Cricetulus griseus: one gene and its partners. The protein of the gene in region 2 purifies or fractionates together with the protein of the main gene of each other region. This does not show direct contact. Links are inferred from orthologs where the notes say so. Each region holds a gene or a part of one and is shown on either strand. Other genes may lie near its edges.

What was found.
Region 1: the proteins of bystin (region 2) and Pno1 fractionate together in Homo sapiens (co-fractionation; 4 studies listed by BioGRID and IntAct, with this or other methods). This does not show direct contact. The link is inferred for Cricetulus griseus from reciprocal best matches to the Homo sapiens genes BYSL and PNO1.
Region 3: the proteins of bystin (region 2) and Tsr1 purify together in Homo sapiens (affinity purification with mass spectrometry; 3 studies listed by BioGRID and IntAct, counting the BioPlex papers as one, with this or other methods). This does not show direct contact. The link is inferred for Cricetulus griseus from reciprocal best matches to the Homo sapiens genes BYSL and TSR1.

The regions. Positions count from the first base shown.
Region 1 is NW_023276807.1:89,075,415-89,081,015, reverse strand, and holds the end of Pno1 (RNA-binding protein PNO1), read right to left. Parts: intron 3,476-5,601; coding exon 3,405-3,475; intron 2,901-3,404; coding exon 2,833-2,900; 3' UTR 1,606-2,832; downstream 1-1,605. UniProt on the Homo sapiens protein: Part of the small subunit (SSU) processome, first precursor of the small eukaryotic ribosomal subunit.
Region 2 is NW_023276806.1:255,578,145-255,584,908, reverse strand, and holds the start of bystin, read right to left. Parts: upstream 3,745-6,764; 5' UTR 3,649-3,744; coding exon 3,384-3,648; intron 220-3,383; coding exon 57-219; intron 1-56. Other genes in the region: mediator of RNA polymerase II transcription subunit 20, read left to right, coding at 4,154-4,167, 6,143-6,297. UniProt on the Homo sapiens protein: Required for processing of 20S pre-rRNA precursor and biogenesis of 40S ribosomal subunits. May be required for trophinin-dependent regulation of cell adhesion during implantation of human embryos.
Region 3 is NC_048600.1:88,350,458-88,356,703, forward strand, and holds part of Tsr1 (pre-rRNA-processing protein TSR1 homolog), read left to right. Parts: intron 1-54; coding exon 55-274; intron 275-371; coding exon 372-506; intron 507-1,029; coding exon 1,030-1,454; intron 1,455-3,161; coding exon 3,162-3,321; intron 3,322-3,650; coding exon 3,651-3,811; intron 3,812-4,652; coding exon 4,653-4,843; intron 4,844-4,856; exon of another isoform or gene 4,857-5,718; coding exon 5,719-5,881; exon of another isoform or gene 5,882-6,088; coding exon 6,089-6,199; exon of another isoform or gene 6,200-6,246. UniProt on the Homo sapiens protein: Required during maturation of the 40S ribosomal subunit in the nucleolus.

The DNA of each region.
Region 1 (5,601 bases), on a different chromosome or scaffold from region 2:
GTGAACACACAAGGATTCAGTTCATGGCAGCATTACAACAGCTAAAGGCTGAAAGCAGTCCAAGTATTGTGGAGGTGAATGGGTAAACAAGGTATACACTGTACAACAGGAAAGAAAATTCTAACACATTATGTAACATGGATAAGTCTTGTTATGGGAAAAGCTCCACTTTTACATCAACGGGATAATAAAATTCCTAGAGACAAATGCAGAATAGTTTGTGCCAAGGACAACAGGAAGAAATGGAAATCTTTTAAAAACTTGTACAGAGGTTCAGAAGACAGAAAATGTGATGGCTTCACATTAAATAGTTACTAAGTTGTATTCATAATACAATGGTTAACATGGAAAGCTGTATTTCCAAAAAAGAATTTTATATTATTTTTTATGTGCATTGGTGTTTTGCTGTGGTCCCCTGAAACTGGAAGGCATGGGCTGCTATGTGGGTACTGGGAATTGAACCTGGGTCCTCTGGAAGAGCAGTTAGTGCTTGTAACTGCTGAGCCATCTCTCTAGACCTCAAAAAGAATTCTTTAATGTGTGGAATATTTTAGAATGATGTAGACAAGATGGTAGTTTCTAGATAGTTCCCAGGGTGTACAAAGAAAATGGTGTTCAAGCTCATGTCTTGAATATTCATCATTAAGTGCTCAAAAACTCCCCCACATCAGATTCACGTTGCTGTAGAGCTGCTGAGTCCTCTTGCGACCTTTCCCTTCCCTATCAGCTAACCAATCCAAATGGCTTGAGTTCCTGGAGATTGTGATTTCTTTGGCCAAATAAGCAGTGCTTTCCCAAGACAAGTCCTTTGCACGTGACTGGTCCTTTGCATTTCAGATTGGCTATAATGTAACAGAAGTGTGTTGCTCCAATCATAACCTGGCTCTTGGAAGAGTACAATTGAGTCTGTCCCCACATGCTCAACAATCATTAACCTTCATCCTTATCACTAGTGCTAGGCAGGCACAAGCCCAAATCTTGTGGAATCCCCCAGTTGGACCATAGCTTTACCTATGAAACTCACTTTTCTTTTAACTCAGACAATGTGTTAATAAATAAGTAAAATAAAGTTGGAGTTGTAATAGTATCTATCCAAGAGACCACTTGGCCTTACAGCACGGCAGTGCCACAGAAACAGGTTTCAGATTGGCTGTAGTATAATGGCACTGGAGATGTTAAGGGAGTAGTGATTTAGTCCAGGTTGTTAGATTTAACTACCAGCAACCTTTCTCTCTCTCTCTCTCTCTCTCTCTCTCTCTCTCTCTCTCTCTCCCACGCTCTCTCTCTCCCTCCCCCCCTTCCCTCTCATTCTATCTTTCTCTCAGTAGTACTTGGAAGGAGAAATGCAAACATTGTACTTTAACATAGAATCTCAAACTTTCTAAGGCAAAAATTACGTTCTTAACTCTGCTTCAGTTTCTTATAATTAAATCCCAAATACTGTTATCTAGTCACTTTTGACTCTTAAAAAAAGCATTAAAACCATAGACATCATTTCCCAGAAAGGCAAATGGTAGATGTCATCACAATTTTTAATCCCCTCACTGAGCAGACTGAGAGTGGATTTGTACCTCCTAAATGCTCTATAGATTTCAGAATAAAGAATTCCCAACAAGTTCTTTTTAATGAGGTTTGATAATATTGAACATTCTGTCCTTTGGGGGAACACTCCAGCAATTTCCTGTTGGTAGACAGCATGAGCAAGGTACAAAGCAGCTAGGACAGTTAGCACTTCCCACTGATAATAGGGAACCCAAGCTTAACAAAAATACTACTAAACAGGGCATGATAGCACACAGTTGTAACCCTGGCACATGGTATATTGAGGCAGGAGACTGTCCCAAGTTTGAGGCAAGTGGGGCTAGACAGTTACAGCCAGCTTGGACTAGCTACATATCCTGTCTCAAAAATCAAGAGGAGCTGGAGAGACGGCTCAATGGTTAAGAGCACTTGCTGACCTCTCAGACTTGCTTGCAGAAAACATGGTGACTCGCAACCTTATCTGATGACTCCACTTAAGGGATCAGATTCTCTATTCTTAGGGTACCAGGTGCATACATGATGCACATACCTAGATGCATAAAACACTCATAAGTATTTAGCAACTCTTAAAAAGTTAAAAATTTAAAACTACTACTTCATTTGGTTATTGCATGAATTTCCTGATACTCCAATCATTACAATATTTTGGTCAAGGTCATTGAGAAACAAAAGAGACTGTAGTATCTAAATCTCATGTTTAATGAAATAGGTTCTAAACAATATAAGAAATAAGCAAATTCATATACACAGACACTAGTTACAAGAATATACTGTTTGGAAAACAGTTTTACTTTTATTACTTATTTGTAAAGTAATTCATTAGCCTTGTGGTGCAGGGCTTTCATTTCATAAACTGCACTGAGTGTAAAGATGAACACATTAGGTTCAATAGTGCAGACTAATGTTATGCCCCAACCCTGAAGCAGTCACAGTGCCCTGTACCAAAGACTGTGATTCACAGGTGGAGATTTTAATTAAAATTTTCAGAGAAAAAATGCTTGTAAGTTTAGTTACAAATCTGTCTTAAGAAGCTGCCTCTAAATGACAGGATTTTAAACTGTGAGTCTGACTCTGTGTGAAAAAGACAGCAGCAATTTACACTCAATGTGTTAAGAATTAACAGCATTACATTTTCATATTTAAATTATTCTAGAAGCAGGGGAGTGCAAGTCCTGTTAAACCTTCCCTTTCTGCTTCTGCTTGGGCTGAGACCTGAAAAGGAACCTGAGCAGTAGGTGGCTGGGAAATCTTCCCATGGTTTTCTGTGAACATCTCAAGGGTCAAGGGGAATCAGAACCGGTCCGCTGATCTGCTGGCCACAGCTCGGATATTGCCATAAACCTTTGATGGAGGATTTCCTGTTCAAGAAAAAAACAGCTTATATATACAAATATATTCAAACATGGAGAACTACATAGAAGACAAATACTTTGCATTCCTAAGAGAAGTCAAAGTTGTAAAAACAGTATTTCACAAAGAAGCTAGCCAGCCAGTCCTGAACACCAGAGAAAACCCCCTAGTCCTCTGAGAAAGTTGCTATGACTCTAGAACTAGATCAAATTAAATCAAGTTGACTGCATGCGTTCAGCATCCCCCATTCTGTAGAGCCTAAAATGTTCTTATTTTGGAATGGCTTTTCTATGTACTCCTTAGGGAAAGCAACAGAGATTTTGATATTACCCAATAAACCCTTTCTCTTCTCTAACCAATGGAATCTAAGTAAAATATTCCTGTTTTTCCCTTCACCAACTCTTCGACTTCTGCTGGGTATCTTAACAATATGAAAGTAGCTTTGTAAATATGGCCTAAATTCCTCCATTCCCTAATCAGAGAAAAATACCAAAGAAATAAACTGCTATTACCTAGGATGAGGTTGCAGATGGCAGTCCTCGCCATCTTGATATTTTGGAAAGAGCCGAGAATGTGAACTTTCCTGAAAGAAGTAAGTGAGTCAGGTTAGCCACAAATGGCATGTTCGTGCCACATCTGGGGAACTAAAAACTCTGGAAATGAAAATAGATCTAAATTCTAAACTGAGGGCACAGGGTGATGGCTGACAACTTTATAATCTTCTAAAACCACTTCAAAAATGAGTGACTTGTGATATAGGAATTCTATATCCCCACAAAAAATTATCAAAAAGACAAATTTATCAGAATTCCAGCAGGAACGAGGCAGGTACTAAAAAGTGCATAAAAAGTGTCACTAAACATAAGCAACATTCTCTCCCCTTTGGTATTTTAAATATATCTAGACAGAAAATTGTCCTTTATTTTGTATCTTGCTCACATTATTCTGTGTATTGCCAAGTTATTAGCAACTTCATAAAAATACCAGATGTCCTCCTCTGGGTCTAGCCTGGTAAGTGTAGTCTTCACCCCCTCATAAAGGAAAGTTCTCTTTGCAATAAACAGAGACCACTATCTACCAATATGTAGAGTTGTGGAGCCCAGTCCCAACGGATACATCTACAAACCTCCCACAGCTAAGGCTCACGGGAAATTTTGGATAAGAAGGTAGAAACATGCAAGAGCTACAGGATCAGAGGTTTGCTGTGAGACTGTGTGTACCAACATCAGAAACGACACTCATAAAGTCTCACCAACATGACTGCCCAATCATGAGCTGAACAAGGATAACACCAACGGGCATACCAAAGTAGATACCAAGAGGCCTCAACCCTATAAAAAGAACTACAAGCAACAGGAATACTGGGAGCAGAAAAAAATCTTCTCCAGGGAAGAGCACACCAACTGGTTATCCAATACCAAATGGTCAGCTCTGAAAACATACATACAAGTAACATTAAGCAGACTGAGCAGTTTATATTTAGGAATATATAGTATATACATATATGCAGGCAATAACAATAAAAAAAAGGGCCATGAGTTTGAAAAAGAAGGGTATATGATAGGATTTGATAGAAAAGGAGAAATGTAATTATAATTTCAAAAAAATTTCTAAATGTAACAACAACAAAAATTACTGTTACATGATAGCCAGGCGTTGGTGGCGCACACCTTTAATCCCAGCACTGAGGCAGGCCGATCTCTGTGAGTTCAAAGCCAGCCTGGTCTCCAGAGCGAGTGCCAGGATAGGCTCCAAAGCTACACAGAGAAACCCTGTCTCGAAAAACAAAAAACATTACTGTTACATCTTAAATCTAATTCAAAATTGAACAAAAGATATAAAAAGTACTTTACACCAGCATTGGTCATAATAGCTCCAAAATGAAATATCCCCGATGTCTATCAACTGTAATTAGAATGCTATTTGGCTATTTAAAAGAAAAAAAAAGGGCAAGGGAGTGGAAATACTGTTGTACCCAACAAAATGAAGAAGCTCAAAGCAATATACTAAATGAATACACACTGGGCATCCATTTACAAGTTTCTGAAAATGGCAAAAGCAGAACAGTGGCTGACTGGTTCTAAAGTGGGTAAAGGACTGATTAAAATGATGCAGGGGACCTGTGATGATGAGCACTATGGGTGTGGCAGGGCTAAAGGGCTGCTATGCTGAGCAACCTATTAGACTGACACCACTGACAGCTGAATTTTACTAATATAAACTGTACCAAAAATACTCTTTTTCAAACAACATTTACAGAAAATTTTAAGACATTTAAATTTGCGGTTTATAAAGTTAATTAGAAACTCGTCACAAGTTCATTAGCAAGAAGGTTCTAGCTTTGGTTTTCTCAACTAACAAAAACTTTTAGGCTAGGATCAGCCATTTTAAATATTGTTATTTCTGTGTCTTTGAAATTTCCAGTAGGAAAAAAATAACACAAAAAACCCTCAGGTTTCAAACTCTTAAGGCTCAATCCATAAAAGAGCAGAACTATGATAATATATTTGGCTTCAAGTAGGGCCACCAATATACAACAGTTACCCTTAAATATAAAGAATGCTTACATTAATGTAGTCTAAATAATGATGTTTAAAGCAAAATGATATTAGATGAAATCCTCACCCTGTCAACTGCTACTTGCCAACTTCATAGTCTTATCAGGTCTTAGACATCTGCCTGTTTAACACTAACATCTGTTTAACACCA
Region 2 (6,764 bases):
AACTAGCTTGTGGGAACTTTCTACCAGGATCTACTGTCCCAACTCTTAAGTCCTACCTCATAGGAGGGTTCTTATTCATGAATATTTCAATGGCCCATTCATCTTCAGGGTCCACAACCACCTCTGCTTGGTGGTCCACTCCGGTCATTTTGGCTGCCTTTTCCAGGGTGGGCCATTCCTCATCCTCATCGTCGGTTCCATCCTGGGGCACTCCCAGACCTAAAGAGGGAAGACAAAATGATAAGCATGGGGCTTCTGAGTCAGTCCACTTCTGCCATGGACTGCATGCCCAGGGTGCTGGAGATACACATGTGCACAAGGAAGGAACAGAGAGTTACAAACTATCTTTCTGTCCCCAGAGACTTGGAATCTTGAGCAATAAAATACAACACGCGAAACAGAGTGATGCTAATAAATAATGGTTGACACGCTGTCTCCAGTGATCTAGAAGGATCCGTCCTATAGTACACACATGGAACCTGGTTAGTCCAGGCAACCTCAAGAAGTGGGCACTATCCCTGTACCCAGGTCAAACCGGGACAGAAAAGTGATGTGCCCATAGCAGGCAGTTCGCGTCCTAACCTTCCCTTCTTCCCCACTATGCCTCTTGCACAACAGAGCTACATCATGTACTAAAACTAAAACCATGGTGGAGGCAGGGTGCAACACAAGCACTTAGATTACTGCAGAGGGTGATGAGGCTTTGAATGGGCAATTTGGGAAGAAGTGTGTGTCTCATATCCTAGAAAAGGACTTTAATATTACTGTTGGGCATTAAGAAGCCAGAGCCAGAAATAGGACCATAGGACCACAAAGGAAAAGTACATCCAACCGGGAAGGCCCCAAGGCTAGGCAGCGGTATTTGGTTTCTAATCAACCAATATATACATGTGAAGTTACAGACTCGGAGCAGCAGGCTTTCTTGGGACTGCCAGAGCCCAAATCATGACATAGTCTTACTACTAATTATGAATGTTTGGCCTTAGCTTTAGGCTTGTTTCTGCTTAGCTTTTTAATTGAAATTAACCCATTTCTATTAGTCTATGTGTTGCCCTGAGGCTGTTCTTCTGTCTCTACCTCCCAAGTGTTAGACAGTGTGGTCCATGTTTGTAATTCTAACACTGAACTCTTGGTTTGTTTGTTTTTGTTGTTGTTTTTGAGAGACAAGGGTCTGACCATGTAACCTTGGCTGGTATGGAACTTGCTCAAGCTCACAGAAATCTGTCTGCCTCTGCTTCCTTAGTGCTCAGATTTAAAGTCACGTGCCAATACACCTGGCTGACTTTTGAAACACCACACATAGCTGGCAAAGACCCTGGAAGAGTCTAACAAACCAAAGGAGTTGAAATATTATATAACAACAGGTCATTTGCAACAGAATTGGACTAAGGGTACACATAGCTCAGGAGAGTACGCAGAGCATGTCCAGCGAGACCCATGTTTTGTTGGTTTTTTTTTTTAATTTTGTTTTAGACTTATATACACTATTTTATGTGTATGCCTGTGAGTCATAAATGTCCCTGGTGCCCAAAGAGGTCAGAAGAGGGCATATGAGCCCTTGGAATTGGAGTTATAGATAGCAGTGGTCTGGCATGTGAATACTTGGAACCAAACTCTCGTCTTTCTGAAAAAATAAGTGCCTTTTTTTGGTTTGTTTTTCGAGACAGGGTTTCTCTGTGTAGCTCTGGCTGATTGGAGCTCACTATGTAGACCAGGAAATCTGTCTTCAACCCCCTAGTTCTGGGATTACGAGCTGCTGTGTATTGAGGTCAGGGGCTCTTGCTTCCAAAGCATGTATTTCACCAACTGAATTTTCTCATCACCTCCCTAGCATCTGGTCAGCAGAGGTGGACCCAACAGGTTGTCACTGATCACTAGCTGACGAATGGATTACAGACGTTAGAGAACAGTAAATGATGATGCTCCCACAGTGATTCAAGGGAACTCAAACAGGAGGATGTTCCAAGCTAAGGAAGTGGATATATCCTGAAGACACAAATCATCAGGGTTTACTGACAAACCTGATGTAGAATGAGAAAGAGGAGCCTTGAGCAAGGGGAGGCTAATGTGCTAAGAGACTCCATGGAGCAAGCAGTGAGATGTCAGGTAGACAGGTGGATATAGGGATGTTAGTTTACTGAAAGAACTATGTCTGAGAGAAAAAGCTGGGAGTAGTCATCAAATGCATGGTTTCAAACCGGAATCTGCAGACAGCAACACAGGAAAACCTAAAACTCAGGCCTGCTCTGGTCACAGAGCAAGTTCAAGTCCCGCATGAGTAACTTAAGGAGACACAGTATCGTAATTTAAAAACAAAAATTTAAGGGCAGGTGTGGTGTCAAATATCTATATTGCCATCAGTTGGAAAAACAGAGGCAAAAATCAGTAGTTCAAGGTCATCCTCACCTACATACAGAGTTTGAGGCCATCCTGGGAATGAGACCCTACCTCAAAACAAGGAAGTAAAGCTACTATGGCCCTAAAGCCATATTCAATCATCTCAATACTGCTTTTAGAATAAGAAGGCAAGACTAAGAAACTGGAGGTCAACCTTCCCAATGAGACAAGTATCAGGTACTTTCCCACTCATCTCTGCCGCCCACCCCCACTCGATTCTAAACTGTTTTCCTGCCTCGGTTAATGGAACATTTCCCATGTTTTTTATATCTTAGTCGGCAGGGCACAAAACTGGGGTGCCTGGCCTGTTGAATTAATGGCGGGTTTGTTGTTGTTGTTTTGAATAGGAATATATTCATTTTCTTTTACTGTCTCGATCGATAGAGGTATACCATGTATATCAGGCTGATCTGGACCTTACTATGTAGTCCACGAGGGCCTTCTTCTGCCTCAGCTTCTCACCTGCTGGGATTACAGGCGAGCACCGCTGCTCATTGCTGGAATATGTTACTCTATTTAATATTCTCTGCCTTGGGGTAGACTTCCGGTGCTAAAAGCAAGGACGAGTACATTGTTTATTTCGGTATCAGAACTGCCTAAACTCTTTTTTATTGGGGGGGGGGGTTTCAAGACAGTGTTTCTCTGTGGATCGAACTCACAGAGATCAGCCTGCCTCTGCCTCCCGAGTGCTGGGACTAAATGTGTGTGCCACCACCGCCCGGCTTAGAACTGCCTGAACTCTTAACACAGTTCAAAGCATTGCACAGGAAACACAGTCATACTTCACAAGCCCAGAGAATAAATACTGGAACTTGGTGTGAGTGATTACTTCCTGTTGGAACTCTGAGGTAGGTTCCAGAAGGTACGCGTTGAAGTGAAGGACCACGCGGGAAGGAAAAACTGCCTCCTCTTTGTAATTCCAAACCCGTATCCGGATGGACTGAGCTAGTCCGGCCCATGCCACCACTCCAGCCCGTGTCACTCACCCAGCCGCGTGGCGCGTTCCCGTGGCTTTGCAGGCTGGTCTGCAGTCCCGTGTTCAGTCTCGAGCTCCTCCTGCTGTTGCCTGGCTTGCTGCAAAATGCGTCTGCTCAGCCGGGGTCCAACATACTCTTCCTCCTCTTCAACCCCGCGTCCCCGCCGCTTGTCTCGGGTCCCCGCGCGCACTGCATTCCCAGCCAGAATCTGCTCGGCCAGAGGTGCATGCTTCTCCTGATTCCGGGCCCCGCGGGCCACCTTCAATTTGGGCATTTTTCTCGAAAAACTTGCCGATGCTACTCACACGTGGGAAGCCGGTTTAAAACTAGGACTGTGTCTGCGCCCTGTGTTCCGGTGCTCGGGAGGTCACCGAGAGTTCACAGCGCCCCCCAGCGTTCGGAGGCCGGAAGTGCCTCATATACCGCCATCTCTCCAGGAGCTCCGGGGCGGGAGCTGGACTCCCCAGATTCTCAGGTAATCTCATTGTACGGAAGTGGGTGGATGTCCCAAGTCACCTTTTCCAGACAGAATTCATGAATGTAGCCTGAGAGGTCCTGTCAAAGCAAAGCGCGCCCTGGGGGCGGAGCCGGGCTGATGACGGAATTCGTTCATCGCTGGAGCGCCCGGGCACGCCTCCCTTCTGTGGGTGTACCGCTCTGGCGCTCAGATTTTGCGTATTTCCGGAGCCTGCATCCTGCTTTAGGCGGCTCTACCTCCAGGGGCCTCTGGATCCCTTGACTTCGAGTGTTTGGCAGTGCCACCCCTTTGACCCTGCGCCATGGGAGTGACTTGGTAGGACTGCAGGGGCTCTTGTGGGACGGAGCTTGGGGTCGTGAAGGCCCCAGGAGGGGGATCGGGACGGAAGCTCTCGGTTCCTCGCGGGCTGACAAAGATGTCCTCGGGTCGTGTTGCAGCAAGGGACGCCGTGTGGTGCTTCTTCCTTCCCAGGCGCATCCTTTTGGCAAAGCCAACTCTTCATTCCAGGAACCTGTCAGGAGTCGTACCTTCTTTTTCTTGGTACTTCTTCATGTCCGTCAGGCCATAGTATTGTCGCCAATAGGACCTAAAAGTTGGGAATAGGCTTTCGCACTAAGAATTATTTGCAGGCAGCGATAAAAAAGAGGGGGGCGCTCTAGGAGAAAGTGACTTTTACATTTTGCTTGCAGTAATAATAGCCTGGCTTTAATTTGGTCTAATGTCAGAGGGAGAGGAAAAGGAGCTGTTGGAGGTTTGGAGGTCGGGGTTCCAGGCACATTAACTATCCAAGAATCACTTCCTACATGTTTGAGTCAGGTTTGGGTTTTTTTTTGTTTTTTATCTGAAACGTGTTTTAAATCTCACTTGGAAAAAGAGAGGTGATTGGTAATGTCTGGACACCGTGCTTTTCTTCAGGGCATTAATTCCAAAGTACTAGGCTTCAGCACGTTAAAAAAAATCTTGGTAGTGGTGTGTGTCTTCCCAGCTGTTCTGTATAATGTGTGTGTGGGATGTTCTTCAGGAAACCCAGGCTCTTGCAGGGTTTTTAGTGACTACTATACGTGCAAATTAGTTGACACCAGGAGCCTTATCTCAACCTCATCACACCGTAAAAAGTACCTGTCAGCAGTGAAAATAGAAATCACAGCAGAGTCACTGGGCCCTATAAAACATTTCTGTATATGTTTTTATGGGCTGTCGATCACCTGCCTCTGACTCCTGCATCCTGGGATCACAGGAGTGCTCCACCAATGCCTGCCTGCCTAGGGTTCATTATACAGAGAAAAGGTTTCCCTTCCTACTAGTATCGGTTCAACTCTCTCAAAATCACAGAGTTTCTGTCACAGTGTCAGTTTAGTGACTCTTCTGTTTTATGTATTGCTCACTGGTCCTTGAAACGACTATTGTCTCTTTTTCTAGGCGTATACACTCGAGGGATGCGTTCTCTTTGTTCTTAGTGCCTTTAAATGGAACTCTGTGATAGTGGGAAAGTTCTGTCCACAATGTCCAGAATATTATCCACCAGCCTCCTGGGGCTCTATACCTGACAAAAGCAGCTTATGATAGGGTTTATTTTGGCTCACTAGTTGAGTTTAAATAGAATGAGGTGGCTGGTCACATTATGTCCATAGTCAAGAGGTAGGTAGGGGTGTGTGGGGGTGTGTGTGTTTGGGTGTGTGTGCGCGTGCGCGAGAGCACGTGTGGTGTCCTACTCAGCTGATTTATCCACACCTTAGTTAAATAAGAATCTCACAGACAGGGTCAGGAGTTTGTTTAAGAAATAGGTCTCAGCCAAGTATACCCCTATAATTCCAGCACCTGGGAGGCCGAGACAGAAGGATTGCTAAAAGAGTGAGATCAGCTCAGGCTAATTCAGTGAACTCCAGATCATCTTCGGCGGCATTGTAAGACCCTATCTCCAAGCTTCTAGGTCCTGTCATGTTGGCACGTAAACCATCAATCACATCCACTGTACAACTCAGTGACACTGAATGTGTGCAGTGTGTGCTACCTAGAATCAACACTTAATGTTGGTATTTGTACCTTACTTGGGAATGCTGATGTGGTAGAAAGTTCCATGTCCCTGTGTGAGACACTTGAGACCTGTGTTCTGCCTGTTAAAGGAACTCTTGGACTGTGGGCCTCTTCCTTTCTCAGTTTAAGGGGCAGGATCAGAGTTAGTGTTATCTAAAGTAACTCCTAGTCCTGTTGATCTGGTAACTATTTGGGAATGAGTGGCTCAGCCAGAGCATGTTTGTCTCTGGACACTGCTGACTGTTCTGTTTCTCAGTGTGTCCCAGATGCCTGTGGCTGAGGGCAAGAGTGTCCAGCAGACGGTGGAGCTCCTCACCAGGAAATTGGAGATGCTTGGGGCAGAGAAACAAGGAACATTTTGTGTGGACTGTGAGACTTACCACACAGCTGCCTCCACCCTGGGCAGCCAAGGTCAGTAGATGACTGCGAGCAGATGTTTGGACCCGGCTTGGAGTCCTACAATTATTCATAGTCATTGGCATCTATTTGTGGTGGTCAGATTGCAGTTTGAGCTACTTGTTTAATTAAAATTTTTTAATTGTGTGTGTGTGTGTGTGTGTGTGTGTGTGTGTGTGTGTGTGTGTGTGTGGATATGCGCACTAGTGCTCCTGTGTGTGGATATGTGCACCTGAGTTCAGGTGCCTTTAGAGGCCCGTGGTGTCAGATCCCCTGGAGTTAGCCTTACAGGTGGGTATGGGTACTGGGAACTGAACTTGGGTTCAAGGCCAGCCTGGGCTAGAGAGTGAGAACCTTTCTTGGGAAACAAAAATTGTCTAGCACAACCAGAAGTGCTTTCTTTATTAAAGAATAGTGTTGGGGCTGAGGTGATAGCTCATCAGTTGAGAGCACTGACTGTTCTTCTAGAGGACCAGGTTTGA
Region 3 (6,246 bases), on a different chromosome or scaffold from region 2:
GTGTTTTTGAAGATGCAAATGAGTGAGAGAGTCTTTGAACCTTTGTGTTGCTAGGTTCTGGCAGAGAAGAGGCAGCTGGGCAGCAAGGATGGGCCTCCTCATCACGTGCTCGTGGTGCCTCTGCACAATAGGATTTCTCTTCCAGAGGCATTTAGGCTGCTTCAGAATGAAGACTTGGGAACAGTGTACTTGAAAGAATGGGGGAGCACCCAAAACTTTATGCTTCTGTGCCCCGGTTTGAAACATCGGTGGTTTTTCACATATGCAAGACCAGGTTAGAGTATCCAATACTTTTTGTCATTATGTTTTAAGTAGTTGTATTTCTTGATTCTAGTGTGCTAACTACTACTTACTGTGTCTGCTGTTTTCAGGAGATCTGCATACTGTATTAGACATGGCTAAAGTTGCTGATACCATCCTTTTCCTCTTGGATCCACTAGAAGGCTGGGACAGCACTGGGGATTACTGTCTATCTTGCCTGTTTGCACAGGGTCTTCCCACCTATAGTAAGTGTTGGAATATTGGAAACCCGCAAAGAAAGTTAATTAGCATTTTTTGGTGCAACTCTGATCTTCCAGGCAGTGTTTAACATTTGATTTAGGAATACAACCAAGCCGTTATATTCTGCTCTCCAAATTAAATGCTTTTTAAATTCCTTTAAATTTTTTTCTTTTATTATCATTACGTTTGTTTTGTATTTTTTGAAACAGGGTTTCTTTGTGTAGCCGCCCTAGCTTTCCTGGAACTCACTTTGTAGATCAGGCTGGCCTAACCCACAGAGATCTGTCTGCTCCAGCCTCCCTAGTAATGGTATTAAAGGCATGCACCTGCATTGCAAGGCTTAAAGACAATTTTTATTTCTGGGCTGTCCTTTGCCCAGGGAAAGAACAGGAAGATGTACTTCACTGTGACATTTCTTTAGTGTTAGCTTGTTGAGTTTCCCAGTGATCCCTGGGTTGTTGTGATCTGGAAATGAATATTCTAGTAGTGAAACAGTAAGTGACTAAGCTCTTTCTTTCTCACCTTTAGCACTAGCTGTCCAGGGGCTTTCTGGCCTCCCACCAAAGAAACAAATAGATGCCAGAAAGAAGCTAAGTAAAACAGTGGAGAAACGCTTTCCCGAAGACAAACTTCTGTTGCTAGACACACAACAGGAGGCAGGAATGCTGCTTAGACAGCTGGCTAACCAGAAGCAACGCCATCTTGCTTTTCGAGATCGGAGAGCTTACTTGTTTGCCCATGTCGCTGACTTCGTGCCTAGTGAGGAGAGTAACTTAGTTGGCACTTTGAAAATCTCAGGCTATGTTCGTGGGAGGACTCTGAATGTAAATAGTTTGCTGCATGTTGTTGGACATGGTGATTTCCAAATGAGTCAGATAGATGCACCTGTGGACCCTTTCCCTTTAACTCCTAGAGTCATTAAATCTCAGAAGAAACAAAGCATGGCAATGGAGGTAAGATTGATGGGAATGGAACCAGGGCCTCAGCAGGCACTCTACTACTACTTGGCTATAGTCATTGCCCAAGATTGTTGTTTTTAACTCCCTCTTCCCCCACAGGGTTCCTCTGTGGCTTTGGAGCCTGCCCTGGCACTGGTTCTGTAGACCAGGCTGGTCTGAAACTCACTTAGATCCTCCTGCCTCTGTCCCCAAATGCTGGGATTAAAGGCATGTGGTTTTTTTTTGTTTGTTTTGTTTTGTTTTTTTTTTTTTTTTTTTTTTTTACAAAGCTTATTTTTTGTATGCCGACGAGGGTGCATATTACTGGTGTGGAGGGCAGGGACAATTTGCCAGGGTTTGGTTCTCTTCTACTTTGTGGGCCCAGAGGATTAGAATTAGGTCATTGGGTTTGGAGGCCCAGGCAGTTTTTTTGTTTTTTGTTTTTCAAGACAGGGTTTCTCTATGTAGCTCTGGCTGTCCTAGAACTTGGTCTATAGACCAGGCCAGCCTTCCAAGTATTGGGATTAAAGTTGATTAAAGTGATACCACTGCCTGACATTTTTTTTTTTTAAGAGTGTATATTTGTAAATTGGCACAGGATGGAAAAACAATTCTCTCTCTCTCTCTCTCTCTCTCTTTTTTTTTTTTCTTTTTTAAATTATTTTGGTTTTTCTAGACAGGATTTCTCTTTAGCTTTGGAGCCTGTCCTGGAATTCCTCCTCTGTAGACGAGGCAGGCCTTGAACTCACAGAGATCTGCCTGCCTCTGTCTCACTTGTGCTGGGATTAAAGATGTGTGCCACCACTGCCTGGCTGGAAAATTTAATTTTCAGAGAAGATAGTTTGCACACTTATTGGGCATGTACGACTGCTAGTTTGAAAGTAAGGCAATAGACAATTAGAACATGTTGATCAAGTGTATTTATCTAGTATTCTTTGGGGTTGGCTCTGCCTTCATGGCAGATGTTGCCTCTTCTCAGAATTTATTTGAATTATAAATCAAATTATCAAACACTTGTAAATTTAAAATTTACAGTAGCATATTCACAGTAGACCTGCTGTGGAAATTGAGAGTACACTAGCTAGCTACACAAGAGAGATCAGAGTCAGCCAAGTGTTCAGAAGAATGAGTTCCACAGAGGTGAAAGAATGTCTTGGGGACTATGGATCTAGGTATAGTGAAGGAGTAGAGGATTTCTTTGAACTTTTATTAATAAAAGACTGAACCTCAACTATGTAGCAGTGACTGTCCAGAGACTTAGTGTATAGAACAGGCTGGACTTAAATTTTGCAGAGAACAGTTTGCCTCTGCCAATTGAATGTTGAGATAAAAGGTGTGCACTACCATGCTGGGAGGGAGCAGTTTGGTTGAAATGGAAAATTCCAGCATTTGGGAGGCAGAGGCAGGTGGATCTCTTAAGTTCTAGGCCAGCCTGGTCTGCAGAGAGGGTTTTAGGACAGCCAAGGCTGCACAAAGAGACCTTGTCTTAAAACACAATCAAAAGGGGGAAGGGTATAATAAGCAGGTGGGAGAGGTCAGGTTTTCTTAGAAACAGTCTCAAGAGTTATGCAGGTGAACACAGTTGAAATGCTAGGAGATGCCCATTTGGAAATTTTGGTATGTTTTGATTTTCTGTTTAATTTGTGGATCTTTCAAGTTATTATTAGATTTATCAGATTTTAGTTAATGTCTGACAGGCCATTACCTGATTTTGGTTTTTAGATTTGTGCAGCAGATACTACAGCTGACATGGAAGAAGACCTTAAGGTTCTGATGAAGGCAGACCCTGACCAACAGGAGTCTTTACAAACAGAAGCTGTTCTAGATCCAATGGAAGGGGAGCAAACCTGGCCCACTGAGGAGGAACTGAATGAGGCAAATGGTCAGTGATAGCAAACATGTTGAATAGTTCTTGCTCACTGCTTGCTTATAAGGCTGGATGAGGAAGTGATTGAAGTTCAAATACTAGAGCTCTGCTTTCTCTCTCAAAATCACTCTAGGCTTGTCTTTTTAAACAATAAATGATAGTAGTCTACTGCAGGGATTTTTTTAGCTGTATATTTGTTGCTAACTGGGGCAGCTGAATTAAATTTGGAAGCCTTCTGTTCTCATGTAGCTGTTATTTTCTCATGTTGGTAGCAGTGTCTGCATAAGTGAGAATACAGAAAGTATAATTAATATATAAAATACTTAATTGTTTGGGTTTTACAGACTTATTGAAGCAACGTTCTAGGGTGGTAAAGAAGGTCCCTAAAGGAACATCCAATTACCAAGCTGAATGGATTTTGGATGAAGGTGATGAAAGTGACGAGGAAGGTGATGAATATGATGATGATACACAACATGAAGGGTTAATGGAAGAGGAATCTCAGGTAAGAAAACAGGCCATTGGGATGGACAGACGGGGCGCGCGCGCACGCACACACACACGCGCGCGCGCACACACACACACACACACACACACACACACACACACACACACACACACACCACCCACCACACTCCAAAAACATGGCTGTGTGAAGTCATCTGCTTAATTATGGAAAGGATATGTTTGTTTGTTTTGTTTTTTGAGACAGGGTTTCTCTGTGGCTTTGGAAGCTATCCTGGCATTTGATCTGTAGACCAGACTGGCCTCGAACTCACAGAGATCCACCTACCTCTGCCTCCTAAGTGCTAGGATAAAAGTCCTGTATCATTACTACACCCAGTGCTCTAGAGGGTGTGTGTGTGTGTGGGGGGGGGGGTTAGGAACAAACTTGCTGGAGTCGTTCTCCTTTTCCACTATTTGGGTCCCTGTATAGAAATCAACTGCCTTTCCTCACTGAGCCACCTTGTTGGTGCTATGATTTTCTTTTTTGGGTTGTCAGGGGTGGGGGAATATAGTCTTATGCATCTCAGGCTTGTCTAGAACTCTAGCTGAAGCGGTGTGGATACTGTTTGCAGGCGTGTGGAATCTGCCCAACTTTAGGTAGCACTGGGGATCTAACCGAGAGCTTTATGTGTGTCAGGAAGGCACTTCTACCAGTGGAGCTACGTCCTCTTCCCTTTTCGGGCTTGTTACTTTTTTTTCTTTTATTTTTGGAGACAGGGTTTCTCTGTGAAACAGTCTTGCCAATAAACTCATAGTGAATCTCCTGCCTCAGCTTCCTAAATCCCAAGACTAAAGTGTGTTTCATGATGCATATTTGCAATTCCCCATTCATTTTACAGGATGAGAGTAGTGAGGAAGAGGAGGAGTGTGAAACTATGACTCTAGGGGAGTCTGTGCATGATGATCTCTACGATGAGCAAGTAGATGAAGAGGCTGAGGAGAGAATGTTGGAGAAATACAAACAAGAAAGATTGGAAGAGATGTTTCCAGATGAAATGGATACCCCCCGTGATGTGGCTGCTAGAACTCGGTTAGTCAGCAAGTGATTTCAGACAAGTTTTATTTGAAAAATTTTCATGGTTTAGAATTATTCGAGTAGGATGCAAATGGGAAAAACACATTGTCCTTTTTTCTTGAAGGGCAAGCATGCTACAGGAGAAGCAGCAACATATAGTCAAGGTATAGATTTGTTCAGAGTGAAACAGACATACCTAGTTTAATTAGCAAATATTCCTTGCAGGAGTAAGTGCTCAGAAATATGGATTTGGGAGGTGAAAGTACATATTTTGAAATGAAGCTTATAAAAGTAAAAGTAATAAAACGTAGTTGATTTTTCTGGATGTAAGCCTGACTAAAAGCCAGTATCAGTGTTGGGTACGAGAGTGGTAAGGCAGGTTGAAGAGCTGTATTCCATAACAGGCACTATAAATTCTTTGTCCCCTGTGAAAAGTCTGGGTTGATTTTGAAATAGTTATTAGAAGCTGTTGTAGGACATGGTTTTTGCTAAAGCTATTAGTTTGTAGTTTGTTTGAAAGATAGGGTCTCATGTGGATCAGGCTATTATGGATCTTCTGCCTCCACTTCCCAAGTGTTGGGTTATAGGTGTATATTTCCATGCCCATGTGTAGCTCATTAGGGTATTTTGAATGCCTAGTGAGTAATTTTGTTTCTTGAGCCAGTTTTGCTTTGTAGCTCAGGCAGACATGAAACACATGGTGTACCCCAACCTTCCCAGTAGATTAGAGCCACACTTAAAGCCTTGTTAGGTTTGTTGTGTACTAGAGGTAAGCATTTTACCACTGACTTACATTCTTAGATAAGAGTAATTTTAAAAAGTGAGAGCCTTGACTATTTTAGAAGTGAGGTGAGTCTTATATAGCACCATCTAACCACTTACTTTCTTAGATTTCAGAAATATAGAGGCCTCAAGAGCTTCAGGACATCTCCTTGGGACCCCAAGGAAAACCTTCCTCGAGATTATGCTCGGATCTTCCAGTTTCAGAATTTTATTAATACTAGAAAAAGAATCTTTAAAGAGATTGAGGAAAAAGAAGCTGAAGGAGCCGAGGTACCTGCCATCTTGTCTACCTTATAATTTGTTTTTGACACAATGCTACTTGTTTGGGAACAAAGGGATTTGAGATAATTAACTGAGAAGGTTGAATCTGGGTGGTTGGCACACCCATGAATGATGAGGCCTGGCATGTATTTCGAGAAAGTTTCGTCACTATTGGGACATTAAAGGTAACCCTGGTGATTGTCTATGCTTTGGCAGGTTGGCTGGTATGTCACACTTCATGTCGCAGACGTCCCTGTCTCGGTGGTTGAGTATTTCAGGCAAGGAGCACCCTTGATTGCATTTTCTTTACTACCTTATGAACAGAAGGTAAATCAGTGTTTTGTGAGGAATGAAGAGTTGTACATATTTTTCCA